Alligator mississippiensis: one gene and its partners. The protein of the gene in region 4 interacts with the protein of the main gene of each other region in a biochemical or structural test. Links are inferred from orthologs where the notes say so. Each region holds a gene or a part of one and is shown on either strand. Other genes may lie near its edges. The genes, in order: PDGFRA, PDGFRB, ITK and PLCG1.

What was found.
Region 1: the proteins of PLCG1 (region 4) and PDGFRA form a complex in vitro, tested with the Homo sapiens proteins (2 studies listed by BioGRID, with this or other methods). The link is inferred for Alligator mississippiensis from reciprocal best matches to the Homo sapiens genes PLCG1 and PDGFRA.
Region 2: the proteins of PLCG1 (region 4) and PDGFRB form a complex in vitro, tested with the Homo sapiens proteins (3 studies listed by BioGRID and IntAct, with this or other methods). The link is inferred for Alligator mississippiensis from reciprocal best matches to the Homo sapiens genes PLCG1 and PDGFRB.
Region 3: the proteins of PLCG1 (region 4) and ITK form a complex in vitro, tested with the Homo sapiens proteins (2 studies listed by BioGRID, with this or other methods). The link is inferred for Alligator mississippiensis from reciprocal best matches to the Homo sapiens genes PLCG1 and ITK.

The regions. Positions count from the first base shown.
Region 1 is NC_081825.1:59,716,248-59,723,625, reverse strand, and holds the start of PDGFRA (platelet-derived growth factor receptor alpha), read right to left. Parts: upstream 3,005-7,378; 5' UTR 2,840-3,004; intron 1-2,839. UniProt on the Homo sapiens protein: Tyrosine-protein kinase that acts as a cell-surface receptor for PDGFA, PDGFB and PDGFC and plays an essential role in the regulation of embryonic development, cell proliferation, survival and chemotaxis.
Region 2 is NC_081832.1:75,044,850-75,052,781, forward strand, and holds the start of PDGFRB (platelet-derived growth factor receptor beta), read right to left. Parts: upstream 3,009-7,932; 5' UTR 2,831-3,008; intron 1-2,830. UniProt on the Homo sapiens protein: Tyrosine-protein kinase that acts as a cell-surface receptor for homodimeric PDGFB and PDGFD and for heterodimers formed by PDGFA and PDGFB, and plays an essential role in the regulation of embryonic development, cell proliferation, survival, differentiation, chemotaxis and migration.
Region 3 is NC_081832.1:77,836,804-77,843,913, reverse strand, and holds the start of ITK (tyrosine-protein kinase ITK/TSK), read right to left. Parts: upstream 3,013-7,110; 5' UTR 2,903-3,012; coding exon 2,765-2,902; intron 1-2,764. UniProt on the Homo sapiens protein: Tyrosine kinase that plays an essential role in regulation of the adaptive immune response. Regulates the development, function and differentiation of conventional T-cells and nonconventional NKT-cells.
Region 4 is NC_081832.1:17,809,605-17,817,147, forward strand, and holds the start of PLCG1 (1-phosphatidylinositol 4,5-bisphosphate phosphodiesterase gamma-1), read right to left. Parts: upstream 3,005-7,543; 5' UTR 2,784-3,004; intron 2,338-2,783; exon of another isoform or gene 2,049-2,337; 5' UTR 1,914-2,048; coding exon 1,712-1,913; intron 1-1,711. UniProt on the Homo sapiens protein: Mediates the production of the second messenger molecules diacylglycerol (DAG) and inositol 1,4,5-trisphosphate (IP3). Plays an important role in the regulation of intracellular signaling cascades.

The DNA of each region.
Region 1 (7,378 bases), on a different chromosome or scaffold from region 4:
GTTTGGGTTGCTAAATCCTAAATTTTTGTGTAGTTGTAATTTTTCTTAAAACTGTTTCCAAGTTTTGGAGAAAAATTCTCTTTGTTGAAGCCATTGTTTGTCTGGGGGCATGTCCAACATGCAGAGCAAGGAAACTCGTTGGAAAAGAATTTTCTGCTTCTAGATCAGATTTTGTTAGGTCTGTGTTGTGTCAGGGCTGACGGTCTTCTTAAGTAGTTTAGATTATGGAGGGTATAGGGTGGTTGGGATAGCGATGATCCGGCCTGAGGCAGGGGGGTTGCACTAGGTGACCTCTGGAGGGCCCTTCCAGCCCTAATGCTCTATGATTTTATGATCATTTTGAAAAACCCTATCATTGGGATTCAGACAAAATATGAACCTTGCAGGCTTTGATTTCTGACCTCCTGTCTGGTCAGGCTCTGTGCTTCTTCCCACTGGCTTGGTAGGAAACTCTGAGGGAATCTTCTTCTCCGGGATTCAGCACTGGTGCCCCGGGGGAGCTGTGCTGGCAGATGCTGTGGCAGGCTCGAAGCCCTAAGACTGGTTGCATATGCATGAGTTGGGACAAGAGCCACAGGCTTGATTCCTCGTCATCACTACGGCGCAGTGCTCCCGTCAGCTCCACTGAAATGAAGCCGGGGCCAGGTTCAGCCTCACCGCAGCAAGGGCACAGGATCCGGCCCGCGAGGAGCGAGCCGCGTGGGGCGAGCCCGGCAGAGCCCGCGGCGCAGCCGCCGAATGAAACCAGCTGCAGGCTCCGGGGAGCGGCTGGCGGCTCCCTCCTGCGGCGGCCAGGGGGCAGCACAGCCCGCGCTCCGGCCGGCCCGAGGGAGACTCCGCCGCTGCCTTGCCCTTGGGAAACCGCTGTCTGGCACCCGGCAGCCTCTCCTCTCCTCTCCTCTCCGCCCCGCCACATCACACGGGCAGCAGCCGCCTCGGCAGCTCTGCCCCCCGCCTGCCCTCGGGAGCCGCCTCAGCCGAGAGCCTGCTCCAGCCACCTCCAGCCCCTCGGCCTGCACCAGGGAGCCTGACTTTGCTCTTAGGACCCCCTGGGAAACGCACAGCCCGGGGGGGTGGCTCAGCCTCCCACCGCGGAGACAACCAGATGCGGGATCCCTTCGCTCACGGATCCTTCCGGGGGGTCCTTCTTTGAGATGAGATGACCCCCTGGGCGGGATCCGGGCGCTGGGCAGCGAGGTCACAAGTCAGGGGCCAAATAGTTTCTTCCCCGCCCAGAGCCACTCGCACATGTGGACCGGACCGGACCGGATCTGGGGGAGGAAATGGGACGAAACCAGCGGGGTCTCTCGATGTTGAATGGGGTGCGGCCGAAATCACGCAGAAAGCTTAGGCAGCTTAAAGAAAGAGCAGCGCCGGCCGTGAATGGGAAGCACCCGAGGGGCTGCTCTCCACCCTGGTCTGCCTGCAACAAGGACCCGAAGTGAGCAGCTGGGAGGTGGGGGTCTGCCCCGGGACGGCTCAGCTCGGGAAGGCACGGGCATGGGGGCTCCTCCACCTCTGGATGTTACGAAGCCGGGCAGCTGGGAGGGGGAGGAGGGTGTTGACATTCACCCCTTCAAAGCCCCTGTCCTGGGTTTTTGAATGTCTCCAGAGCACGGACTGGCCCTTGGGAAGTGAAGCCCTGGCAGGCGCTGGTGTCCCGAAGCGGGGAAAGCGTGGGGGGATGATCCGAGAGGGGGGGGGGGGGGGGCGTCCAGCAGCAATAGCAACATCCAGCCTCGGAGTTGTTTTCCTAGGAAACAATAGGGGAGCCCTTGCCAAATTGAAGCAACATTTTTTTATGCGGGTTAGCCAGAAAAAGAAAAGAAAGAAGGAGAGGAGAGGAGAGGAGAGGAGAGGAGAGGAGGACCCGCTATTATTTCCTCCCTGGGGACTGAAATGCTGTCCAGGCTCGGATTGCCCTCTTCCCCGGGCAGGGCTCGGCTGCCCCACGGAGCAGAGGGCAGGGGTCCGCCTCGTCTGTGCCCTGGGGGGAGCCCGGGCGGGGCCGGGGGGAGCGGGAAGGATCCCTCGGGGCGACGGCGCGGCCGGGAGCCGAGCGAGTGCCCGGAGCCGCCCGTGGCCGCCCCCGCCCCGGGGACGTGGCTCTGCCCGCTGGGCGCCGCGGCTGCTGCCCGCGCTGGCCGGGCGGGGACGAGCCCCAAGGGATCCCGGGCCGGCGGGAGGAGCCGCGCCGCGGGGGCCGGGGTCTGGCGCTGCCGGAGCCCCCCGGGGCTGAGCAACGCCGCCGCAACCCCAGGAGCCATTTCCTCGCTCTCCCCGGACCCTGCCGAGGGGTCCTGACCGCATCCGCGCCGACGCCGGCCCGGGAGGGACGAGGCTGCGGGGCCCCCGGAGCTGTGGGGGCAGGTCTGAGGGGCCGCCGTACCCAGAGATCGGGACCATTTGGTCCTGCTGCGGAGGGCACCGGGAGTAGCAGCCAGGCTATGCCCCGCGGTCGCTTGTCCCGGCCCCCCGAGCCCGACCCAGCTCCCCGGGAGCCGCGACGTGTGTCCGCCAGTCTCTGCCGCTCCACCGCGGCCGCCCGCAGCGCGGGGCAATCCCCGTCCCTGCGCAGATCCCCGCTCCCGCCCCGGTCTCCATCCTGCCGCCCGCCCCCTCCCAGCAGCTCCCCGGGAGCTGAGATGTGCCCTCGCCGCCTCCCCGGCGCTCCCAGGTGAGCCGCCCCAGGGACTGCACAACCGCTGGCTCTGTCCCCCACACCCCCCGCGACTTGATGGCCTGCATCGGAAGGGACTGCTGTGCTTCGCCTCCCCCTGCTCCCAAGCGGCCCCTGGAGAAGGCGAGGCGATGGGGGACCGTCCCACCCAGCCCGTACCTGCTCCTGGCTCCGCGGACCCGCGCCGCCAGCCCTACGCGCGGAGTCCCAAATCCTTCCACGTCCTTGGTGGCTTCTCCTCCTCCCCCTAGATCCGACTGGGACGGGCTCAGAAACCGCGCCTCGTCATTGATCCAGCGCTCGAGTCCATCCTTCCAAAACTAATCATTTGCTTTAAGTAAATAGCTGTCAGGAAACGAAGCCCCCCCTCCCCTCCCCTCCGGCCCCTTCAGAATAAGAGCCGCCCTCCCGCGCCCCGCGCCTGCGGCCCCGCCGCCTGCAGCCTGCGTGCGGGGGGGGGGCTCTTGTGCAAGCAGGGGAGCCACTCGCCGCCTGCAGACTCCACCAGCCCCGGACTGGGCCGGGGGGGCAAAGGGGGGGGAGTTTAGCCATATGGCAAGGGAGCGTGTATGGGGGGGGAGGGGGCGAGGAGAGCTGTGCACTGCAGGGAGGGGGAAACAAAGTTTCTTTAAAGCCCCAAGTGTTCCCCGTGTCATGAACGAGCTCTCCTCCTCGGCCACGCACTCGGGGAAGGTGTGCCAGATGCCCGGACGTGTGTCCATCCTCCCCATGTAAGTCTCGGGATGAAAAGCTGAGCTGGAAATGAATGTCACGCCGTCTTTTCGACCCGACTGGGCTCAGGGCTCAGCGCACAAAGCCGCATGGCAGCGTCTTAGCCAGAAGCAGCAGGCACTGAGCCGCAGCCGAGTGAGCAATAGTTATGAATGAAAGAAACCGCGAAAGGTAACGCTAGGGAAAAAAACCCAACAACAACAACAACAAAAAGCCCGCTGCTTTCCGACAACCGGGAGGCTTGGGATGGTCTCGGCACGAGATCGGGGAACCCTGTCTAGACGACGTCTCCACAATTTTGAATTGATCTTGTGAATCCGGCTTTCTGGACAGGGCTTTGATCACCCGGCGGGAGATAAAAGTATCTCTGCCTTGCTGATTGTTGCTGCGTGCTGGAGACAGGGAGGGGTGGTGAGCGCCGAGGGGTATCTGTGCTGGGGGAGTGAGACGGGCTCTTTTCCGTGCGGTGTCTTTGCAGCGGTCGTGGGAGAGGGGGCACTGCAGCCTCAGGAAAGGAGGCTGAGACGCGTCCGACTGGCCCCTCTCGGGACGCGTAGGGCACCGGGCCGGACGCGCCTGGGCGCTGGGAAGGGGGTTCTCGAAGAAGAGGAGGTTACAGTGGTTCCCCCTCTTCTTGTCTGCATCCTCTGCCTGCTTTCCCCTTCCCCCGCGTAGTGCCTGCGTGCATCCCCCTTCCCTTCCTTTCTAAGCAAAACTTTGTTCTCAAAGTCAAGCAGCAGGCTCCAGAGGCTCCATCTCTCCCAGACTAAGGAGAATTAGTCTCTGAAGCGAAAATGCCCCCGAAGGGAAATGAGGAAGGCTGTGAAAGGCAGGCAGCGAAAGCATGGGCCAGCCGAGTCCCCGTGGCTGGGCTGGCAGGGTCCCCCCTGCCTGGGCTCAGTTGATCACATTGCCTGCAGCCTTCTGCAGCCTTAATACATCTTCAGCTTGAGTGAGTGCACAACCTCACTATTGCTTCCACATGTTCCTTCAGGAAATCATTGGAAGCAGATATATGAACAGCCCCTTGTTCGGAATGCTAACAGGATACCGTAATGCTTGTAAATAAATAACAGGCTCCCATGGATTGGAAGTAAGGGTAAGGGGCAGTGGAGGGTACACTCATCTTGCAATTTTTTACCTGACAGGTAAATAAATACATAAGTTTGATCGTTTAAAGTGGTGGTGACGAGAGAGAGAATGAGGAGACAAGGCTCTCAGGAAATCGAAAGGTGCTTTAAGATGTTTGAAATGCAAATGGACTTCAAATTTTGAAACAAAGTTAGGGTATCAGTCAGGGGCTGCCAGGAGCTAGCGTGGAGTGGGTTTGCAGGCTGGCTTCACTTTCGTTGCCTTGATTTGTGCACGGATAGGCCGAGTGACGCTGTAAAGGGACCTTTGATGGAGTACTTTCGTGATCAGATGTGACGGGAGACCCATTCTAGGACAAACAAAAAAAATGAAGCAGAAGAGGAAAAAAAAAACAAAAAAGAAAACAAAAAAAAGCTCCTTCTGGTTGTAATTACCTGCCTAATTTGAATAATGCCTTTGTCATGATCATTAACAAACAATCGCTAAAGGCTTCCATGTGGGAGATCAGATCACAGGGCTGAACAACAAAGCGAACCTCCTTGGAGTGCAGGTCTGGGGAGGTGTAGGTTGTAGCCGTGTTGGTCTGGGGAGGTGGCTGCCTCGCAGGCCTCCATCCCCGGCGGGACGCACGCTCCGGGCATGGTCCCCAGCCCCGGGCCGGGACAGCAGCAGGGCTGCCCTCGTCTCGGCTGACCGGGCCCGGCGCGAACATGCTTGGGGAGCGGGAGCAATTGTTAATCACTCGACCTTTCCTGCCTCTGCTCCTGGCCCAGCGCAGGGATTGGTACCTGAAAAGTGATGACATTAGCAGCCCTTTATCTCCAGTCCCGAGTCACCTCATTAATTAACCGGGGGAGCTGTCTCCAGGCCCCTCTGTGTCAATCACCCTGCAGGGCTTCGCCGGGGGGGAGAGCCAGGAGCCCTCTCCATGCTGTTGTTGTAAGATCCGACGAGATTATTGCACGGAGAGAGGAGCAACGCTGTCCTGTGTGGTCCCGCGCTTGGAAACAGGGCGAGAAATCTCCGCGTTTACAAGGCTGCGTGTTTATTTTTGTACCTCCCGAGGTATCTGCCGGGCAGAGAGCAAAGGGAGATGCACACCAGATGTGCCTTCGGGTGGAGAGCCCCGCTCTCCCCAGTTCCCAGCACAGCTGACTCTTGGCCATTTGCTGGGAGAGAGACCCCACTGTGCTCACGTCCCAGCCCCCTCCAGCCTCCTCCTTCCTGAGTTCAGAAACAGGCTTTGCAAACGGATCCTGTCGCGGTGCTGGCGGTGGAGAAGGTGGCACTCCATACCACTGTCACATGCCAGCACCCCGGGGGTGGCCCGTGTGCGGGGGTCTGGCTTGGGGGAAGGGGTTGGAGGGGGGGCGGGGGGAACCTGGTGGGCTAAGAAGCCCTGCCTTACACGGCACCCCACATCTGGATAGTTTTACCACTTTTCTTCCAGAAAAGCTTGGTGGTTGTGGCTTTGCCAGAGCCAGCAGCTCTTAAGGATGATGTCTTAAAACAAACAGCTCTCTCCTAAGCTAGATGCTTCAGCAAGATGTATTCCTGTGTGCGCTGTTTCCCAGATGGCTTCCGTGACCAGTTGTCTTCTCCCAACCCCAGCGAAGGGCAGCTAGGCAAGGCAGGAGGCACCTGAGCTGCTTGTGTTTGCGTGGGACAAACCCGAGTGCCTGGGCTCTGGGTGCAAAAGCAAGCACTTCAGTGGGATGGTTTAGGAACATCTGGGAAGGGGGTGGGGCTGGGCAACCCTTGAGGTCCCTGCCAACCCTGAGACTGTATGTGACAGTGGGGCCAAGCGGGTCTCTTCTATCCCAAGCTGTTACAGGGCTCCCTTTTCAGGCTCTTCCAGAACAGGCAGCCTGAAGCATACGGCGCTGTGCTGGGGGGAGGGAGGGCTGTTTATGTGGCACGCAGATGCGAGCTCCACATCTCCAACCAGTCCCAGCTGAAACAAGACAGAGCCTGGTGTTGACACCTCAGCCCTTCCCCGCGCGCTGACTGCAAGGCCCAGCTGGGAGGGAGGCTCCAGGGCTGCTGTGGGGAGCGGGCCTGGCTCCCTGGGGAGAAGGGGGGAGCTCTGCTGGGAGGAACCGCGCTTCCGCCTCTCTGGGGCTGCTCATTACAGTCTGCAACGCGCGGCTGTTTATTGGGCCGGGCCGGGAGCCTCAACCTGCCCCCCTCGCCCCTGCAGCGCTATTGGCCTCGGGAGAAGAAACAATTTGCTGGAAGTAATGACCCCTTTCCTGCCTCTCCCGAGGGTGCGATGGACTCGGGTTAAGTAGCTGAGGACACAAGGCGGGCGAAGAGTCCGTTCCTTCGGGCTTCTCCAGATGCCGTCGCAGGGAGGGAGCCTTTGTCTTGCTTGGCGGAGGCCTGCTTTTAATTATGGCAACCCCTGCTCAGGCATTTGCAGCACACAGGCCCTGGGAGCACGGGGCACCCGGTTCCCTGCGCACCCGCCCGTCTTCGTGCCTCTGCTCGCCACACACCGCGATCTCTCGCGTGGGCCCTGCGGGGTGGCGGGGGCAGGCGGGAAAGGGGCAGGGGGGGGCTCCCCTGCTTCTGTCTTGCACCGGGGGACACACAGCCACTCCATCTGGATCCATGCAGCCGTGAATGCCCCGCGAGGCCAGGAGCGGCAGCCCAGTTCGGGGCAAGGGACGCCTGGCTCAGGCCATGCTCGGGAGGCGCGGCACCCTTCCCCGCCGTTGCCAGTCTCAAAGAAACGCCTCCCTGCCCCGATGCAGCTGAGCAGCATGTGCAGGAGCGGCGGCAGGAAGTGGCTTCTGGGAATTTCTCTTTGATCCGCAGTCAGATGCGCACTCCGAGCGGGAAACGAGCTGCGGAGGCGCGGACCTCCCCTCG
Region 2 (7,932 bases), about 57 Mb from region 4:
AACCTCCAAGGAGGAAGGGTCCAGGTTCTCTAGCTGAGGATGTTTCTCCGACATCCAGCCTAAATCTTCTGTGTTGCAAATAAAATGATTTCTTTTTGTCATACATTCATAGACATTCGGGCTGGACCCCGGAGGATCATCGAGTCCAGCCCCTGGCCCAAAGGGCAGGAAGTCAGCCGGAGTCACAGGATCCCAGCAAGATAAGCATCCAAAATGGAAATCCCAGACGACAGCTCACTGTCCTCTCTACAACCTTTTACATAAGAAGGAGACTTCTCATATCAGTCCTCTCTTCTCTAGACTAAAGGAGCCTAGTTCCTTCACCCTTTTTTTTTAACACGTTCGTAAACCTCTCATCCCTCCTGCTGCTTCCCGCCGGACTCCCTCTTGCTTGCCTGCACCTTGTGTATCGTCTCAGATTCACCACCCGATGACAGTTCAGGCAGGAGACCTTTCTTTGCACACCATCCTCCTTTCCCATGGCTCTGGGGACACGTGGGAAACCGGGGCACTGCTTGCTGCTCTTCCCAGCCTTCCCCCTGCCCTGCCAGCTCTCACTTAGTACCTGGACATAGGGATAGTTGACAGGCGGGGGGACGGGGACTTCTCGTGTGGCAGCTGCTCGGTGATAGCTCTGCATGCTCAGACCTACCCCGAGAGGGAGCCAAGCTGTGTGGTCCCTTACCCTGCGTGGAAGAGAAGTCACCATGGCTGAGCTCCCACTTCTGGTGGGATAAGTGTGTGCACACAGGCAATGAGCGCAGAGCAGGTGAGGTCTGCAGAAACCCCTGGTTTCCACCCACTGAGCATGTGGGACCACGACTCCCTGCGGTGGCATGACTGGGGGGGTCTCTGATTTTGGATACAGACCTCAGCAAGGGACTCGGATGTCAGAGAGATGCTCAGCACTCAGGGTATAACAGGCTGGTTTTCCCAGGCGCAGGGCTGGAAGGGACCTCCCGAAGTCAGTGTAGTCCAACCCCCTGCTTCAGGCAGGATCACCCCTATCCAAAGCATCCCATAAAAACCATAATCTACGCTCTACACAAGACAACCATCAACAACTATCTTCAGCTGAGTGCCCCCAAATTGGAGGCACTCAAACACACCCACCTCCTCGGAAAACTTTGGCCTCAGTTTCTCACTCTCACAACTGCAAATGAAACACGGATTGTGCAGCGCTGCGCCCGTCCTAGGGCGGGTGACCGCCGAATGCCGTCCATTCAGCTCCCCAGAGGATTACCCTCAGTCCTTAAGGACCAAATTCAAACGGCAATACCATTCACCCCTTCTCTGCTGCCCACCTGAGCAGAAACACCCCACTGCTTAGCACAGGCCACCCACGCTGGGATGCTGGATGGGTGCTGGGTGCAAGAAGAGCCTTTTCCTCGCCCATTGAGCTGGGAAATGCTTCCACTCAAGGTTTGTCTTTTCAAACAGCAAAGGTGCAAAGCTCCCCTGCGAAAAGTCCCGGCTGGATGAATAATCCCCTCCAAGAGGAAGCTGGACAGTGCATCCGGGCCCCTTCCCGTGAGTGGGCTCAGAAGCACTAACTCATTCAAGGTCCCATCGCATGGCTCAGCCTCCTTTGGGGCTCTTGCCCCGACTTGATGGGCTTTTGTGGCCTAAAATTCACCAGAACACAGCTTTCCATTGAGGTTGATGGCTGTGAAAGAAACCTTCCACTTGGCCATGCTGCACGTATCCAGGCTACTCGGGAAGGAGCTCTCTCAGGTCCCGGCAGCAGCGAGAGCTCTGCTCCAGCTGCTTCCCCCCAAGATTACCCTGAGCCTCAAGCTGCAGCTCCACCAGAGACCCGAGCTGCCCCGTTCCCCTCCATGGGGACGTTATCCGCTAAGGCTCACCTGGACGCTGCAAGGGGCAAATTTCAAGTCAGGGAGGCGCGGTTCTGTGCCTCCCTGGCTAATGCAAGCACAGCAGTCGTTCACGTGAAGGCGCATGCCGAGGGCCACATGAAACAAGGATGGACGTAGCCGGGGTTGCAAAGGTCCCACTGAATGATGCCATGGACGTCCTGGGCAGAGGGACGCCTGTCTGCACAGGGAAGCCGTCCTCACGTTGCAGTCAGTGGGACCCAAACACAAGCTTAAATTCTTCCTAGAGTGAGCACCCGAGGCTTGCCAGCATTCACTTCCCTCCAGGGCCCCTGCAGACCTGTCACTGCCCTCGTGGGGATCTGCTGTGGGGCCAGCGGAGAGACCAAAGAGCACAACTGAGGAGCTCTCCCATGGGTGCCACCCTGCTCTGGGGAGCAAGCACAGCCCCGCCTTCCCACGGGGCCCTGACTAAGTGCCTTGGGGGTCAGCGCAGTACTCGCCAGCCGGGCACCCTCAGAGCTGCTTTCTAAGAGGCAGAGCCTGGGCCAAGGCACCGATGCCCAGCACAGAGTCCCAGTGCCCCCCCAGCTTTGCCCTCAGCCCCCACTGCACCTGGCACAGCGGGGGGCACTGGGACAGGAGCAGGAAGCGGGGCAGAAACCCCTTGGCTTCCCCCATCACCCCAGCCCTGCAGAGGGGAGGTTGGCTCTCACCCCGGGGTGGCACCCTGCTGCCTCTGTCCCACTCGGGGCTGCCTGCCCCTTCTGCCCAGCTCTGGGTGCAACCCCCCAGCCCCCTCCCAGGGTCACCCACTTCCCCCTATACAGCCAACTCCCTGGGGACTTGCATCACAGTCCCTGGGGACTTGCATTGGAGCCTGGGCAGACAGCAGGGTCCCTTTCCGCATTGCAATCCCAAACCTGGGGAGCTGCATGGCCGCAGGGATTTAACTGCAAGGGCTGGGGGGCGAGGGGGCACTCAAACGCCCTTACCTGGAGCCTGTGCGGCCGGAGCCCTTCCCCGTCTGGCCAGGGCTGCCCCCGAGCTCTGTCCTGCCTGGAGCATCCAGCGCAAGGGGCAGGTCCGAGCCGCCTCCCGGGGAGCAGCCCCTGCCCTGCCCTGCCTCCCTGGGCTGGGCTGGCTCTAGCTCTGCTCTCCGCGTCTGCTTTCAATTCTGGCTCTTTTCCCTGCCTCCTCCTTTTTTCTTTTTCCCTGGCTTCCAGCCCCCCTCCCATTTTTCCCCTTTCTCAGGATATGAGGGGATGTTTAGAGAATCCGCTGCCCACGCCAGCAGCTGACTCATGTTTTTATTCGAGAAGGCCTGTGCTCAACTGACTCCACACATTCCCTTCGGATCTTGGCTGGAGCTGGCACCGTGCAGGCTGAGCCCCTGGCAGCAGGCTGGGCCGGCCGCCGTGTTTCTCCAGCAGCCACCCGGCCCCTTAGGTGTGCAGCCCCTTGCGCGCGGGCTCGACAGCCCACCACAACGACTCCTTTGCTGGCACAGCCCAGTGAGGAAGGAGAGTACATTCTTCCAGGGTCAGGGACCAGGGCTAGCAAAGGAGTCCGAGTTGCCGGTGGGGCGCGGGTTAGCCCCCCGGCACCGGGAACCCATGTGGACACTGGATTCAAACAAAGGCCCTTTGGATCTGAGTCTGGATGTGCACCCTGAGCTTTGTGAAGGGAGATGAATTTGCAAAAATGCGGGGGGTTTCCCTGAGCGCCCCGGCGCAGGGGTCTGTCTACATGGGGATTAACCTATTGCACCTCTCTGGCTCTGGCAGCTTGATGCCATATCTGGACACTTTTTTGGGTGAGTTTCTGGCTTAGTAGAACCTTTTGTGGGTGAGTTTCTGGCTCCCTGGAGCTGGTTTCAGGCCCTGGGTTCACCAGGATATCCTGGGAAAGCCCAGACAATAAAAACATGTTGCAAGCATGTGACGACCCACTGAGCCGACCTGGGAAATGCTCACCTGGGTCCAGCATAGGTTAATGGCCCCTGGGCCCAGCGGGTCTTTGGCATGTCGTTACCCCGGGGAAATCACCCTGTGCTCTGCCTTAGGTTTCTCTATCTGGAAACAACTCTTCTCCATGTCTCAAACTGGACGCCAAACGACGCTCTGAATCCCGAAGGAGCGTCCTGGCGGAGAACCCCACAAAGCTGTGCTGGCAACGCTGTCCCAGGACATCTCCCCGGGCCAAAAAGCCCTTTCTAAAGCATCCCCTGCCCTTCTCCAAACATATTTAGCAGACTGGGTACAGGCTGCGTGCCCCTTAGGCGAAGGGCAGCTTGGAGGCACCATTTTACTTTGCTAGGTGGATGGTTTCCAGTCGAGCCGGCGGATGAGTCGCCAGCCCCGGTGGTTTCAGAAGTTGCTGCTTATCTCTAGTTATCTCAGTATCTTCTTCCTCTCCTTGATGAAAAACCAAGTGGAGACGGCTTATCCAGAGACTGCTGATGGGAGAGGGGGAGGAACTGTCCATGGGAAATCCCGAGCTGTTACCATACAATGGGGCTGTGCTTGCACAGCATCCTTCGGTGCCCGTGATAGAAGGGAGCAAGAGGTGTGAGGTGCAGGGTTAGCCCAGGTTAGGGGCAGCCGTGCGGGAGGCTCTTGTGGAGGTGAATGGGCTGGTGGCAAGCCCGAAATGTGGCATGGAGCAGCGTCGAGGGACCTGCACAGGCTGCCCTGCTATTTGCACTGGGGATTCATTCCTTTTGGAGGCAAGGAAAGGCCCTCGGAGCACCCGCACTGGGTGCAGAGAAGGGGCTGCAGAGACAGACAAGTCCTGGGGGCCTTTCTGAGATGGGAAGCTGCTCGCGGCATGCTGAGTGGTGGGGGGAGAGGCTGGGAGGTACGGACCCAGGGCCCTCGGGGTGCAGGCACAGTCTCAAACCTCTCCCCAGCTGCTGCAGGCCAACCCTGTGGGGTGGCAGGACGGAAAGGGTGGGGGCTGTTCGTCTTTAGCCACAAGCCGTTTGACGGGACAGCTGCCCGGTACCAAGACCCTGGGGTCACCTCCGTCCTGTGGGCAGGCTGGGGTCTCCAAGGTGTGCCCCCACAGCCATCCCTTGCAAAGGCAGCAGGGTCTTGAGGCCCCTCTGGAGGAGGGCAGGGGGCTGTTACCCTGGGGCTTTGGGAAGGGCTTGCCATCGTAGCCATCGTAGAGGAAAAAGTCGTGCTAAGGAGGGCCTGGTGCATGCTGCAAACTGCTCCGAGTCCTTGTTGCTGCATCCCTCGTGCCTGTCCAAGGTCACGTTGTTTAGGAACTCAGGGTGTTTGGGCTACGGGCGCTGCGGGACAGGACACGGGGAGCCTGGAGTAAGCCACGTATGTGGGAGGAGAGAGGCTGCCTGCTCTCGCTAGCTCCCTTTGCTCCGGTGTAAGAGACCTCCGGCCAGCCGTGATGCTCAGAGGGATTAGTTACGTCCGAGCTCTGGGGTTTGCTGCAGGGATGCTGAGCTCAGCAGTGCCCACAGGGCCTAAGGTGCTCCTGGCCTCTGCCTGCACCCGTTCTAGATGCCAGAGCTGCACCTGGGCCTTGCCAGTCCCCCGGCTCCTTAAATAAAGGGCGATTCCTCTCCGCTCCGCCAAGCTGCACCCGCAGAGAGCTGTCCCGGGTGATTCTCCTCCCCATGAGGTGGGGGTCTAAGCCTCAGGCCGCGAGACAGATGTCAGAGGCCCTATCACTAGCCAGGGGGGCACGGAGCAGCATATGCTCACCCTGTAAGTCATGCCAGCATCTGCTGCTCATTTAGCCAGTGGGGATGAACAGCAGGGCGGCAGGGGCACTAGCACCCATGGGGCTGGCACAGTGGGAACAAGCACCCGGCATGGCTTCACAGGGGCCATTTCGAGCCCTGGCTGAGGGCAGGGGCTCAAGGAGAGCTGCCGCCAGGTGCCTGGGGCTGCTACCTGGACTGTTTTGCCTGGGTGGGCATTGATGCAACATGAGGCCCTGATGCACGAGCTCTTGTCACCGTGCAGAGACACTGGTTCCCGCGGCTGTGGTTATCGCAGCAAGTGGTGGGCCCCAGGGGTGCGGGGAGAAGGCATCCCAGAGGGGCCAACCCAGAGCCCCCCAGTGCGACGGCAGTGGGCAGCTCTGGTCCCCACCTCTCCTGCCGTCCTGGCGGCTAATGCTGCCCCCAGGCCAGGGGCACAGGAGCCTTGTGCCCATTCTGCTCTGGGACGATCCCATGAGTCTGCAGGGAGATGGGGGCTGAACTGCATCCCTGACTCTCCTCCAGGCTTTGGGGGGCTCCCCCCAGAGCTGGCCCTTCCTGCCTGGTGCCTTGGTGGGAGCAGCTGCACGCTCCAGTGTGAATGCGAATAGCAGCACTTCCGGTCACCCCAGTCATTCCAGCACATCTGGAGCCACTTAGGCACTGGAATGATTAACCCCTTGTGAGCTCTGCTGCTGCCATGCCAGGCCAGCCGAAGAGGGAGTGCAACCCCCGTGAGCCCGGAGCACTCCTGGAGGGTGCTGGCAGAGCTGGAGGGCAGGGCACAGGGTGGGCAGGCCCTACTCCACCCTGGCCTGTGCAGCAAAGACCGTAGGCATCCCATCAGCCGGGAGGAAGGTCTAGGAGCCACCACTGTGTTCTGGCACATTGCTCCATGAGGCACAGCGGAGCAGAGTCCCACCTATGCCTCGGTCTCTGGTCCCAGAGCAGGGGCTCAGCTCTGTCCTGCCCTACACAGGAGGGCTCCCAGGATGGCCAGCGATGGCCAGAAGTAAAGGAAAGACAGAGCTGCAGTGGATACAGAGGATCCAAGCCACTGGGCTGGCCTGGGCGAGTGTCCAAGCCAGATACCGGTCCAGGATACTTCGGGTTCCAGTTCTAGGTGCAGAGAAGCATCTGCAGATGTGTGCACACCTATGCATGTGTGCATGATGCATGTGTGGCGAGGTACATCACCTCCCCTGGGCCATGGCTTTGCATGTTGCATGTGCCCCTTGCAAAGGCTGGGTGCATACCTGGGCACTGTCCGGACAACTCCTGTGCCCGTTACAGCTGTGCCCAGTGCCCTCCCATGGCGAGCTGGGGTAGTGCCATGCAGGCAGGCTCCACAGTGCCCAGCTCTTGCATTTCCATCCCCGGACTCTCCCTATTTAGCGTTTGCAGCAGCCTCTAGGCCTTGCCAGACAGAGCGGGAGGACAGGAGCTCGGAAACCGGGATGCAGAAAAAAAAGAGGCTGGTTTAAAAAGAAAAAAGGAATGCTTTTTTTTTTAAGCCCCTTCTTTTGAGGCTGTGCTGGTGCTGTCCCATGACTGATGCAGCATGGTGAGCCAAAGGCTGCCTGCTCTGGGCCCCACAATGGTGCCAGAGGCAGCAGGGGGAGGTTACTAGTAGGGGGTAAAGCAGGTGGGACAGGAGGGGCAGGGGGCCCAGGAAAGCGAGGGGTCTCCTTTGGCTTCCAGCAGGGCAGGGCACTGCTTGCAGCCTGGGTCCAGGCCTCTGGCCATCTGGGATGTCCCCTCGGCCTCTCTCCTTCCGCCTCCTCTGAGAGCGCTGCCAAGGCAAGCAGTCAGTGTGGTAGAGACGATATCTTTTATTAGCCCAACTAGACAGTTGCAAAAACCCCAACTTCCTTTATTTGCAAGCTTTCAGGCACATGCGCCCTTCCTCGGGCATAGGAGAATGCAAAGACTGTAACGTTTCTCCCAGGGAGAAACAACAATTCGTATCGTGCCGGAGAGCTGGAGCGTGATGTAAGACGAGGGCATGCAGAGCACCTGCCCTCCTCCTGCCATGGCTTGCCCCCTTCCCTGCGGAGCCGGGCAGGAGGAGAGTGAGCCACGTGACTCCTGGAATGAGAGCAATGCGCTGGGAATGCTGGCCACGGCCTGGCTGGGGGTGGGCTGGGGGCGGTGGGGAGGCCCAGTGCGGCGGCGGGGACCAGCCGTTCCTTCTCCAGCGTGTGCTGGAATGTGCGTGCCTGCGGCGTGTGCGTGCCATGGGGCTCCGGCGCCGGGGGCTGCGCACGGCTCTGAACGCACAGCCCAGATGGGAGACCAGGGACAGAGCCCCGCGGGCAGCTTGCAGCCAGCCAGAGGCAGCTGTCCGTCTGCATCTGCAAAACCCTG
Region 3 (7,110 bases), about 60 Mb from region 4:
TTATGCTAAGACAGCCTGGCATTGTGCACTGTATAATGAATTGCAGCAAATACAGCTGCTTATTGTTGCTAGTTATTTTTGGGTTCATTCTCCTAATGATGTATGTAAATATCTGCCATTAGCGTTAATGGCAATTGCGCATTTGGACCAATGAAACAATAGAGCTTTCTGTCCCCGCAATGGGGCAGTACAATAGAAAATGTCACGACAATTATTTTAAAAATTTGCCTTTGTGACACCAGGCGCTTTGTTAGCATTGGATACAGTTTGCAGACGTCTCCCCAAATGGTACTTTGACGTGGTTCTTCACCTCCTTGCAAGTGGCACAGCTTTAATTGGTCTTTGGAAGGTCCTCTTACACTTGTTAGCACCACAATTTATGCAAAAAAGGCTAAGCATTAATTAACCTTAAGCATAAGTGCTCCATTGAAACCAATGGGACAACATGCATGTTCAGTGGAAAGGAGGGACTGAAGTGTTTTGCCTGAAGCTAAGCGCGTGCTTATGTTCTTGGCTGGACTTCTTGGCACTTTGAGCCCTGCCTTAGGCTGAGATATGGCAAACAGTCAAGTTCAGTAACCAGTCTCTAAAGAAGTGCTTGAAAATCGGTCAAGATTAGACAAGGATGACAGCGAACCTCAACCTAGACCAGCTGTTCCCAATCCTGGGGTCACAATCTTATTTGGGGTCACAACAATAAAAAATGGGGTTGCAAAGACGCTTGACAGCATCGACCTATTATGATGAATATGCTTCCTATATAAAAAGGAATAAATATGTTATAACTATAAACAGGAGTAAATATAAGCAGGGTTGTTTAATGGCAGGGCACCACAGTAAATATAATCCACAGGTCAAGCAATTGAAATAAACATCAAATAAATGCACTTAATAGCTTATTAAGACTTTGTTTTCATCGTTTTTTAAATCTAAACAAGAAGTTGAAATGATTTTAAATATTGTATATGAAAAATATGAAGACCATAATGATTGTAATGCCATCTTCATGACTTGTGGAGCTTGTCTGCATCATTTTGGGGTCGCAAAAAATTTCCAGTGTTTAAATGGGGTCATGCTGAGAAAAAGGTTGGGAAGCCCTGACCTAGGGTTTTCTATTAACACTTTGGACCTAATTCAACATTTCTCACTGGCATAAAAGCAAGGAATCACCGTGGACCATCACACCCTGTCTTGACAGTATACTCACACGGACAGTCACATATGTTCCTACGTGTCTTGCGTAGACCTCCCTGCAGTACGCAGGGCTACACATGCACTTCGTCCAACTCTCGCTGCTCTAACGCAGCACAGGTGAATTGTCTTATGAGAATTTACCCCAGCTGAATGTTTGGCCCGGTATCTTGATAGTTGAGGAACTGTCTTGTCAAAGCAAGCACCTAAGCTATTGGCACGAGAGGTGAGCAGAGGAAGAAACACATCCTTGTGAGCACAGTCCTGTCTGCACATGCAAATGGGGTGGATATCGCGACACATTTTTAACTATTTTCATAAACATTTTATTTCCGGGGGGCTTTTGAGTTGCCCCCTTTTTGCCTACTGTGAGCTTGGGATAACGCTTCCAACATTTCCAAAGCAATTACAAAACCGGCGCTCCAGTGAAAGTCAGTCCTCAGATTCCCAAGGGAATTATAGGTGCCAAAATATATCCAGTGGGATTTTCAAAAAATGATTAGCCATATTAAGTGTCCACTTCCCCATGAGTCCATTAGGATTTTGGCACCTAATCTGCTTTGGCATTTTCCAAAATCCCAACTAAGTAATTCCCTGCAACTTTAGGCAGCTTAAGTCACTTTACTTAGGCTGCTTTTGAAAATGTTACTGAGAATCATCCACCTAAATAGTTGTAACAACACCCCAAGCCTTCAAATGACAGCATTTGGAGAATAGCGGGGACAGTCTCAAAGTAACATGATAAAACACATAGTAGAGATAATATTTTTACAACTTAAATGAATTTTGGATGCATAAAACATTGCCTACATTTTTGCCCCCAAACACCCAAAATCCATATTGCAAGGCAACAGAGTGAAATGATGTATAAGCAGCCATAAATGTTAACCCTTCAAGCTCTCCACCGTGGATGACTCCTGACAGATGTGATGAAAACACTTGCAATAGCTAGTGAAATTTAACAGTCTACCAAGAATATCCAACAGGAGAAGCAGCAGACTTTTGGACTTGGTAAAAACTTTAACTACACTGGCAAACACATACTTGTTTTTAATTTTTGTTATATTTAGAAAATGAAGTAGGGAAGCAAGACTTTGTTTGAGACTTTATCTGGGCAATAGAAAACATAACAGCACCTGGTAAAAGCCTGAGAGTGGGATTTTTTAACTGTTAATATTATAAGTATGATGCCACGTCCCCGTAGCCCACAGCTTAGTGTTGTAGACAATCACTGAACAGCTAAAGATGTTGCCTTCGGTTTCCAAATGAAGCAGGTGTGTATAACAGAGCCACTTTTCTTTTTCTCCCTAACTGTGAACATGGCAGCAGTCCACAATCTGGCCATACACAGGATGCTAGTTAATACCTAGGTTTTATGTCCGGTAAGCTGATGTATTCTTGTTATTATCCTTGTGCATAGCTGCTGTTACCAGGCTGCAAAAGCCAGGTTTGACATTTAGCTCGGAGCTGGTATGACAGATGCTGCTGTAGCAAGGACGGGAGGGTTCCCCTTCCTTACATGCCTCTTAACTCAGAAGCAGAGTAAAACAAGAGAGAAAAATGGCTGACTTACCCCATGGCGATGCTCGAAGTAAGCCAGCTTGGACTTGGTTAAGACGAAGAAGCGCACTTTGTAGTTGGAGGGAGATGTTCTCCTTTTCTGCTGGGACTTCTTGATCAGCTGCTCCTCCAGGAGGATGCAATTATTCATGGTTTGGTAGGGAACGGTCCTGGCCCAGGACAGAGAGCTTCTGCCGCAGCTCGGCACACCACGCGCGCCCCAAGAGAGACACGAGAAAGGAGACAGTTAATTTCTCACCAAAAGGTGTTCAAAAGGCAGCGTAGGTGCTCTGAGCTTTGTCTTTCCGTCTGTCATCTAGGCAACGCTATCAGGCTTCCTTTCTGTCAAAACCATAACCACATCCTCTCCAGTCATGAAACGAACAGCACATGCTGAGAAATGATCCAAGGGTAATGTTGTGGAAAAAAGTCACCTTTGGAGGGCACTCAATCAGGGTGACTTCAAGGATCAGGGATCAACGGGGCCGGACGGAAGGACACCTGGGCAGTACCCAGTCCAAAGAGCTCAGGCTGAATTTGGACCGTAGGGAACGGCATCTTCCTTGTCCTCTTAGAAGTAGGTTGTGAATCCAAGCCCCTCTCACAGACACCTGGCGTTGTCGTACCCACCGCGTGTTTATCAGTTCAGGACTTTACTTAATGCCTTACATTAAAACTTCTTTTCAAAGAAATTGTCTCTATAACCATCGAGTCTCTGCCATGGGAGTAGAAGCAAGTTGCAGATTAAACAATAGGAACATACAGCAGTGATGTAGAAACAGACATTTCCATTTTTTTAATATCGTCCATTAATCTCTTGCCTGTCACTGAATTTTCCAGATGTGCTTGGAGGAAGACAATTAATCCCTGCTGTGTGTCCCAGGAAAATCGCGATGCAACATGTTCTCGGTACATACAGCACGGGGCGATATAATCGGTAGCAGTGGGGTCTATATACTGTACCAGAAGTTAATGGTTTCCTTAGCTTTCCAGTGCAGCAGACCAGAAAGTCTGCAACAGCTGCAGGAGAATTAAAAACCAGAGAATGCTTTAGATGAATTCATTCGTCGTTTTATCTGATATCAATTGGGATTAATTGTGCTTCACTTCTATGTGTCAACGCATCGTAGCCTTGGTATTGATGCAGTATAACTACATAGTAGAAGCTGCTGGGTAATGGAAAAGGGGACAATGAGAAGGAAACAACTGGGGTTTGAGCAAAGACAAGCAGGTAAATGGGCTGTGTCACCAAACAACGTTAGCTGGGTCTTTCTGGGTATGTCTACACATGTACTTTAATGCGCATTAGCCTATTTTAATGCACATTGTCATAAAAACCGTGCGCTTTCACTAATACAGATTAAAATAGGTTAATGTGCCTTTTTCTAGTACTTCAGAATGGAGGCACTACATTTAATGCGCACTAATGAACATGTAGACATACCCTCTGACAACTATTCCACTGTAGCATTATTGCAAGCAGTTGCCTTTTCAAATAGCACCCCTGGATTTCAGGGTTTGTAGCATACTAAAATGAATGGAGACAGTTTGCACCTCTCTTTAATTCACTCTTTTCTGAGGATGTCTGCCAACTCCAAAGAAAGCGCTGTATTGGCCTGAAATTAGCACAGGTAGAGAAAGGTGTCTTCTCAAGCAGAAGTTGGACACTCTTAAAAATAAAGACTTTTTTTTTTAGATGTTAGAGCCTAGTTCTGTTGCTGGGGCTATTCTGTGACACATTCGATGAATTCACACAAAACTTTTGGAGCTTGGGAGCAATATTTTTCAACATGGGTTTGCTATGCAAAGATCCCTGCAGAATATACCTGCTGTGCTGCTGCATGTTGCATTGAGTTTGGGTACAGCCTTCCAGGAGCGTCTTAATCAATCATCATGGGGGTCTTCTGCTCAAGTCCTGTAGAGATTCTGCCTTCCCCCTAAGAGTTGAGACCTGCCATATAAAATCAGGAGGGGAATTTTGCAAAAAATACCATGAAAAATGGAAGAATAGGAGACTGTTAAAGAAGAGTTGTACAAATTAGGCCTGAGTTACCCATGTGTCTCTCTTGCAGAAGTGATACAGTGCTTCTACACATAGGCAGAAGCTTTGTGTGCTAGACCAGAAGGGCTGCCGGCCGTCTCTGTACCTCCTTGATGAAATGATAATTAGCTCCAGGGAAACCTTACGGTTCTGCAGGGGAGCTGATTGCCGTTGCTCTCAATGCACTTTCTCCTGATTTCACCACTGTGGATGATTTGGGGATCAGGCCTCAGAGGTTCACACAACATAACCTACTTAGTCACGATTCCTTATTTACGATCACATTGTATATGTCTCTCATTATTTTATGGTTACGCCGTGTGCTCTGGGCATTGCAGAAAGGCAAATCTGAACAAGCTGCGCCCAGGTGAACTCCACAACCTAGTGCCAGACTACCTACGAGAGCGGCCAGTGGTTTTCAGCCTTTTTGCATTTAAAGACCCCTAAAAAATTTTGAACGGAGGTGTGGAATGCCCTATGAATTGTGATTTTTTTGAGTGATCGTGGTCATCTTTTGCAGCCTTTTTAGACATAGCCTGCAGACCACAGGGACCACAGGGTGAAAACCACTGGTCTAAGCCATGTGTAGTGGGTTCATTTGGCAGGCAGGAAATGGAGGTGTGCAATGGTCAGTGAACCCTAAAAACCTGGGACAGAAATAAGAAGCTAACAAACAGGCAGCTGAGGGTGGTAAGACTGGGCTGGTCGAGCAGGGAGGATGTGGGCAGTAAAGAGATGCTTGACAGGGGGGTGTAGCAGGAGCGATGACAAGAAGCGTGATTATCTCAGCGTGATAAGCGCTGGAGAGCCCATGGAGGGATGTGCAGAGAGCACGACTTGATCAAGCGCAGAAGCTGGGGGGCCAGCAGCTGCAATTAAGCAGGAAATGATCCACGTGCTCGTTAGCAGCCAGAAAGAAAGACAGTGCAATAGTCACAGCCAGCTAGAAGCAAGGACCAAACATGTGGTTGGACTCCATGGATGGAGGAAGAAGGCAGGACTTGGGAGATGAAGAGGAGAAAGAACGAAATGATATGGTTTCAGCTGGGATGTGGAAAAACAGAAGTACAAAATGACTCGTGATGGTGGCTCTAAGGGACAGGGCGTACGATAGACAGATCGAGACTAGGAGAGAAGGCGCAAACTCACAAGGACTTGGGAAGAAAGATTAGTAGTTCGGTTTTATCTCTAAAATATCAGACAGCCAGGGCCAAATGTGGGATCGAATGAAGGCAGGAGACAAGGCAGTGGAGACTGTTAAATTTGTGAGACTCGAGGTGACTGCAGGGAGACCTGACTTTGGAAACTCAGTCTAATTATTTAGGTTGCTACATACGGGCCCTCCGCTTTGGTACCTGTTTTGGCCATATCAATCTACTTAAAACTTTCTTACTTGTAGGGTGCCAGCCACTTTCATTAGCGGGGTGGTAGACATCTAAGGTACTGCTGTTCATACGTTTCCCCCCTGCCTGTCACTTAGTCTGGGCAGCGAAACGGGATGGGTTGGCTTCAGAGTCTCTTTCCACGCTCCTGTTGCCTGAGCTTCCTAAACGATGGGGAAGTACATCTATCAAATACATATCCTTGCAATGTTACTTTTTAATGAACAAGACCCAAAATGTGGCCATAAATGACATTCCCAGACCATCATGACTACAACATCACCCCAATTCCATAGCAATACAGGTAACATTTCTATAACTGTCTAAAAGAGCACACACCAACTGCTGAAACTTCCTGAGCCTGACGAAGGGTTTTTGAACCCGAAAGCTTGCTTAATAACTATTCTCCAACCATTTGGGTTGGTCTAATAAAAGATATCAAATTCACCCAAGGAACCTTGTCTGCCTACGAGCCAAAGTATTATTTTTACAACAACTAAATACAGTAAGAGCTTGAGTCTTATTGAAAGTCATGACATGGGCACATGACAATTACTATGGAGGAACTTAACCCCAGATTTTTCTCCGTGGTAGACTTCCAAGCAGCTCTCCTAACTAGCTGGGCTCTATGCAGAGGCTACCCCAAGGATGAAGATTATTAGGGGAGTAATATACCACGTGTCTGCACCCAGAGTGGGAGTTACACCTTGTAAGGGTCAGATTTACAGTGCTATTTAGGCACTTAAATAAATTGAGCCTGGTGGGATTTACATAAGCAAGGTAGACACCTCTCTGGGAGTCAGGCACCTAATTCTTTTAGGCATCCCATCAGACAACAGACCGATCGCTGCAGGTGGCTGTATGCCTTTCCAAATCTGGTCTGAAGTGGTTGTCGCTTTTCAAAAGAGGACTCAGATTTGTCCTACACGTCGGGAA
Region 4 (7,543 bases):
ACTATGGGAAAAAAATTGCAGACTCCAATTTTATCCTACCACAAGAGCATTCTTAGATACTTTACAAAACTGCATATAGTTATTTATAAGCATCCAATTTATGAATTACTAGAGCACCCATTTTCACTTTGGAGCCAAGCAAATTGATCAAATAATGACCAAATTATAGACAGAGTGGTCTCAGGGATGCAACTAAATACCTTACCAATTCTCAGGTTTGGAAGCATGAAGGAGACATGGGCAAGAGTCCCTCCTTTAAAATTCAATATTAATGCTCAGTTTTTTAATTAAAACAACTATTGTAAACAGTGTAAAGAAAGGCACAAAGAGTGAACCCCAAACTGAACCTAGGGCTGGAAACCTTCTCTCTAGCACCAACTTCACACTAGAGTATAGCCCCTAAACATTCAGTGCAAATGTAAGAGAATTAGCTATAACTATATTTATAATTACATTGGTGCTCAGTGCATTGAGCATGGTTTACAAGAGGATTATATTTTATCAACCCACCACCCAGCTGTGAAAACATCTGTCTAGCCTCTGGAGGCTGATAAATTGGTCACTAATGACTTATCTGATAGATAAGATTTCTTGTTTTGCAAACTGGTATTAAGCTCAAGGAAAATGGAAGTCAGCAGAGGAATCACTACCCACACAGTTGATTTCGGTGCCATATAGGTTAAGAAATTATAATCTCAAGCCATCCACTGCTTCATCTTCTGAGCTCATTGCAATTACTGAGCTCAAGGCCAAAGCTATCAATTCTACGTTAAACTTTGAATTCTACAAAAAACAAAGCAGCCAAATAATGACCAACTTTAAGGTAGATGGTAACTTGTCTGTGGACTTCATTTCTAAGTAGCTAGGCAGCTGTGCCCTTCAACAGGTGATGAAGAATAGGTAAGCTTGTATACCTAGAAGGTAACCCATTAAAGTATTGTGATTCTCATTTAACTTAGCTAACCCAGGCACCAAAGAGGGTTGAATTCCCCAGAGCAGAAGGGTCTGAAGGACCAAAGTTTAGTCCCAAAGACTCCACTCTGGCTCATGCACTCCTGTCAATTAGCACTTGTGAAACACAACAATCAAAAACTTCACTTCAATCTCTTCTTCACATACATGAAAGCAGATGATGAATACCCAGGTCAGCTCCATCACAGAAGCAAAAATGGGCTCAAAATATGATTAGTTTTTAAATCAAGGAATGGGAAGGCTGGCTTTTCTTGCAGGTTTTAGGAGCTTCTGAGGGTGGAGGGAAAAAAACTCCAGGGTGAATGGGATGAATGGTCAGGTGAGAAACAAAGATGGGCCTCTTCCTAGAAGAAAGGAAGGTGTTTATCACAAAAACGATTAAGAGTTATTCTGGACTGGCCAGAGGCCCAGATCTCAAGCTAGATTGAAAATTCACACAATCTGAAATGTACATTCAAGGATTAGTGCAGCTCTGCCTTTGCCACACCACTCAACACAGGATAAACATTTCAGGCCATTAAGAGAGAGAGAGAAAAGGTTACTCGGCTTAGAAAAACTTGCCAATTACTGCATCTGTGTTGCAAAATTTCCCCCTTTAGACAAAACACCCGGGCTGTCACAGCAAGGCAGATTCCAATGCTCAAGAAAACTTGCCCATCAACCCGGACAGTCTGATGTGTGGGGAATCAGCTCTAATCAAAAGTTGCCTTCCCCACTGTTGTTACAAATCCACACTTACTTGCTCCTTCTATCTTCTCCGAGCCTCTGCTCCAGGTGATCTGTCTGGTTTCTAGCTTCACCTGGAAAGTTTTCCTCTCTGGTCTCTGGGATTTTTTCGAGTAAAACAAAGTCATCACAGTGCCAACTTCCAAGCTCCGGCAGAGGTGAACCACCTCGGCTTCGTTCTGCATGCAGGGTCCATTGGAGAAGCCGGACGCCATGGCTCCCTCCTCTGCTTCCCCCAAAGCAGAGAAGTGTCCAGGCAACACGGATCTTCAGGCTCCCGGCTGCAACTTGGCAGACTTCAATAAAACCAATCCAAGCTCATGGCTCCCAGCACAAGAGTCTTCCCCTTCCTACGAGAGGGGGGAAAGAAGCCGTGTTTAGATCCGAGGGCTTAGAGGGGGGAGCCCAGCCCGAGCGATCGTCTCCCGCATCGAAACTTTTCACTCCAGGACTGCAGCAAAAAATCGCCTCTCTGCTGGTTTGAATCATGCACCATTTTTTTTCCCCCCTCCTCCTTCCCGACGGAGCCTAAAGCGAAAGCAGGCAGACACAAAGCATTCCTGAGTGATTAGGAGCGGGACTGGGTCCTCCAGAAAGATTGGGTTGCAAAGAGAAAGGGGGGGAGGAAAGAGGGAGGCGACTTCGTAGCAAACCTCTCCCTTTTGTTCGGGGCCAGCGGTGCCTGCCTCGCTCCCCCCGCCTCCGCCTCCGCCCCCGCCCGCATCGATCGCAGCCCGATAAGATCTCGGGAGAGCTCTGCAAGTCATGGCTGAAGCGCTGCAGCCGGCTCCGCTCCGCGCCCCCGTCCCCGTCCCCCGGCAGCGCCCGGCCCGCGCAGCACGTGCGGCGGGAGCGGAGCCCGGGCAGACCTGTAGCTCCGGGCCAGCCCAAATGCATCTACATGTTTTCGACCCACTGATTTGAAACTACCCGGCGTGATCTGCCTCCCCGCTCTCGTGCATCCTGCAACGGCGGGGGCTCGGAGGGGCGCCCTTCCCCCAGCCGGCGTTCAGCACAAAGCGGGGCCAGCGAGGACGAGGAGCTGCCCCCAGCCCCTTCCTCCGCCCGGCCGCACCCGCGGTTACCGTGTGCCCGCCGCGCGGAGCTGCCCCGCGGCCCGGGCACGAAGCATCTGCAGGGGCGGGGGACAAGGCGGGTACCGGGGGGTCCCCTTTCCCCTCCGCTGCCGTCACGCCGGCGGGGCTCGGGCGAGCAGTGCTGCCGAGAGCCGGGGGTTGAGCATGATTTATTAGTCGGGCCTCGGCACGGGGCTGGCGGCTCATGCCAGCCCCATGGCTCCAGTCCCCGATGGCTCCACCTCTTCCAGCTGCAGATCAAGGCAGCTTCCTCCTCATAAATCATCTCTCCCGCAGCAGCAGCAGCTGGGGTGGAAGCGAGCGCGGGAGACGGGCGGGACGGCTCGGGTCGGGCTGGCCATGCCCATGCCCATGCCCTGCGCGGGGCCCCGCGGGCTCCCCAGCCCCGCACCGGGGGAAGGGCCGGCGCGCCCCTCGAGCCCCAGGGGCGAGCGCTTGCTGCCCCACGCATTGTGACACCCGCCGCGGCTCCCCACCTGTGTATCCTGCCACGCGGGGGGGTGATGTCATCACAAAGTAGTCCCGAGCTGGAGCAGGGCCTGCTTTTAGTTAGGACAGAAGTAAAATCCGTACTTCGAAGGCAGACAGGATGGCTCACCAGGGAGGACTGCTTCAGGAGTCATGTTACAACCTATAAAGACATGCTGGGCAGAAGAAACCTGATTACCATAGGTCCAGGGGGACTGGCTGAGAGCCTGTGTTGCTCTTAGCCATTAATAGCATGACAGTAACACACAAAGGTCCTGGCAAGCCTGAAGCCTCCCTGTGCTAGGGGCTGTCCAGACACACAAAGGACGCTCCCTGCTCCCAGCAGCTCAGGAAACGCAGAAGACGGGAGGAGGGAGGAAGACGATATTGTCTCCATTTTGACAACAGAAAAGCAAAAGATGGCAAGATTAAGCGACTCCACCAAGGTTAGACAGCGAATCTGTGGCAGAACAAGAACTGAACCCAGCTCTCCTGAAGCACAGCCCAATGCCTTAACCAAAAGGCCCTTCTCCCCATCTGTTCTTTCCTCTGCTGAAAACTCCCACCATGCCCATTAACACCTACCTGGAAAGAGCAGGCTTTGCATGCCAAGCTCCATTTTCTCATTCTGGGGAAGGGGAGAATCATCTCCTTTCATGCCAGCTCTGTTAGATTCTGGTAGTATGGGGCCAGTGCTGCAATGCTACACCCAGCCAGACAGGAAAGTAAACTAAGGGAGGCTTAGTAGATGAATAAGAAGTTGATTTGGAGTAGTTTCCCCCTAGCTTTCTCCCAAAGCTACCCCCCTCTCATTTTCCCTTCTCCCCTACTCCCACCCCATCGCTTCAGGACATTAGGCCAGGCTATTTCATTAGCCTCTAGGTTTAAGGCTTTTTGCTCTGATTAAAAGTGTTGTCAGTGCCTGAATATGGTGCATCAAGTGGGATATCACAACTGCTTGGCTATGCCAGCACATGCTTGAACTCTTGCAGCCCTGAGCCTGCAGAGGTGACCAAGGAGAAACTCCACTGCTGCTCCATGACCCAGGCAGATATTTCTCCCTCCTTGCTCCACAGGAAATCTCTTCCTTTGGCCTGCATGCTCACAAGTGGATACATGAATCTGCTTATTGCACATGCAAATATCCAGAAATGTTGCATGCATAAAATGAGCTAATATGTGCATCCAGTCATGGCATTTTCATGCCCAGTCAGACATACATTTTGCATAGGCAATTGCTCTTGCAGCTAGAAGTCAGGAGCCAGGCACATGCGGTTTGTTTTAAAAATGCACAAAGTGCTTACCAGCAAAAGCAGCAGGGTGCTGTCTACAACTACTTAAAGTGACATGAAGTTACCCACAAGGGCCACGTGTTCAGGAGGAGATAAGGTTTAGTGGCAGAGGAAACAGGTTAAGTACTCAGGAAAGACAGAGCATCTCTGTACAAACTTCAAGACGCAGGTAAAAGCATCGCTGAGAATCTAACTGTTTCAATGCAGGACTGAGGGTGAAATGAACATAACTGTGAAATAATATTCACTTGGCTGACCCCTGACAGACCTTATGCAAGGTCTGAACCCAGGGTCTCCGATGTCTGAAACATGATTAAGTCCAAGCACAGAACCCTGAAGCCTCCTGCTCAGCTGCCACCGAATCCTGGAAGCAACTAAAGTGCACACGGGCATCTCTCCTTTGGTCCTGAAACCTCCTCAGGCACCTAGATCTGTGCCTCTGCACATGCCCACAACTGTCCCCGGCTGAGCAGCTCAGCCCAGCGCACACCTCCGCCAGGTTGGGACCCCTGGACAGGGCATTCTGTTGCCATCTTGACTAAGGGGTGGAATCTGGTACCTTGCCTAGCACACACTGACGGGATCAAGTGCCTCACAAAAACGTAGGCATGACCATCACTCTTTTTCCTATCTAATTCCCTTTTTAGATAGTACCTTAGTGCTTAAGGCCAGGAAGTGAGAGAGAGAAGTGGAAATCCACCCCCCAGCCTGAGGGAATTCAAACCACCATCTTGCTCGTGTCCCAAATCACCAGGCTGAGCACCATTCTGGATGGGGACACTCTTCACCCCACCCCTGCTCTTATATTGCAGAAGGGAATGCAGGACAAATTTGGCCAGCGGAAGTGTGTAAGAGTGAGCAGGACTTTAGTTTGCACTAAACAGTAGTTGGGTAAAAATACTGAAACGGTCCTGGGAAAAGGAACCAGAACCCTGGATCCCCATCCCCTGAGTGCTCTGCTGACGAAGCTAAAGGGCCATGTAAAAAACTAAGACACAAAAAGAAGGTCTTAGGAACCTAAATTGGGACTTTTGTGGAATTCAGGCACAGCTTCAACAGGGAATTAGTATCTGGGCCTCTGGCTTCCAAGTTCCTTAACCACCAGGCTATTATATAAGGCAGGGGCCAGGGGACGGGACACAACCCATCTTGTTTTTGCAAGACAGAGAAAGCCTTGCTGTTTTTTCAAACAAATTGTAGGTGCCCATTGTCAAGAGAAGGCTCTGGGCAGCAGAGCCCAGCTGGACACCAGAGTTTCCCCATAGTAACCCTGAGTGAGGTGCTGAAGTCACAGAAAGAGGCAAGGTCCACTGTCCTCAGCACCTGCCTTGCAGGGATGTTATGGGTCATAGTTCTCACTGCAAGACCCCTCAAGCTGACAGATGCCATCTACTTAGCCACTGTCATACAGTCCTTAATCACGCAGGTAGACATGACTCAAAGGAGTGGGCTCATTCTACAGTAGGATAATTTGCATGGGTGCTTATTACAAGACTAAGCTCTATATTTCTACTGTAGTCAGGGGGCAATAAATTGATAAGATGCAGCTAATCAGAGTGACCTTCAAGGGAAATTATTTGTTCCTTTTGCTTCTTTCATTATGCATGACAGTCCTAATGGTTGTGTTTTTCCTTCCTTCCTTTTCTTTTCTTTTATGCATTAGATCATAACATTCAGGGCTTTGCTAACCCAGAAAATTGTCTGGTAGGATTATGATATTACAGATACCAATGAAATGATACCTGATTTATCTGGACTGTTTTAAAACATGTTTTCATCTATGCCTATTTAATGTCAATGCCTAACAGATGGAAGAGAGCACTCTCTGAAATATTCAGCACCTCCAACTCTTTGATTAACAGCTGAGATAGACGTGCCTCTGAAATTCCCAACGAGACCAGCTTTAAACACTCATGTTATCTCTAAGCTTATATCAAATATAGGCAGAAATTCTCTTGAAATAAAAGCTTCCTCCGCAAGCCATCCATGTACAACTCATTTTCCATGTTTCACAGGACATCTTTAGAAGCACTGAATTTACATCTTCTGAATGCTTTAAATTACATATTTGTATAGTCCATCTCCATCAGTTACTTGTGTGCAGCTAACAGATGGTGCTTTCTCTATAGAGAGGGACAAGCAGTGCAATGGAGATGGACAGCGCTGCACAGTGAAACCATCATAAGGCATGTGTGCATGAACATGTGTAAACATACTTGAATATGTATACAAGTACATAAATGCCTTTGGGCTGAACCTAAGCATGGAAAATTTCAACCCATATCCTCTCCAGGGCAGGCCTACAGCTAGAATCCATTTCTTGCAGGCTATTACTTTTAGAAGTACCTGCAAGATATCTTCAAAGAAAGCCTCCCCAGTTGATCAAATCCAGGCCTCCTGGCTCCCTGAACAGCATTTCTAGCCTAAGCTTGTCTAGTGTCAGCTTACAGCCAGTAGCTCTTGTTACACCTCAGCTCTCATGCAGCATTGCTGGGAACTCTTAAATACCTGCTGAGTTTTATCCTGGAGGTCTGGGACAACACCTCTAGTGCAGTTGTGTGCAGCCTAATGATTAGAGTACTGGACAGACTCAGGAGACCAGCTTTCCTTTCCTAGCTTTGCTTTTGGGCTACTGAGGCTGCTCCCTGCCCTGACCCTCAGTTTCTCCATTGTCAAGCAGGGACACTTGCTTTTTGAAGCACTTCCAGGTCTAGTGATAAATAGCACCCAGTATTATTATTATCAGCAGCAGCACCTGGGTCATGCTTTGGTATAAAACACGTTGCATAAAACCTACATTACTCCTTGGCTAACCTGATTCTCTCTGCTGCCACTGCTCAAATTTGAGCAGGTGCCAGCCGAGTCAACTTCTGTTTCCTTCCTTATTTATGCAGTGATGATGACTCTTGCACGTAGCTATGCAACTGAAACACTTAATTGTTTTCTGTCCTGCATCTTTAAATTCAGACAGACTTTGCTTGTGTGCAC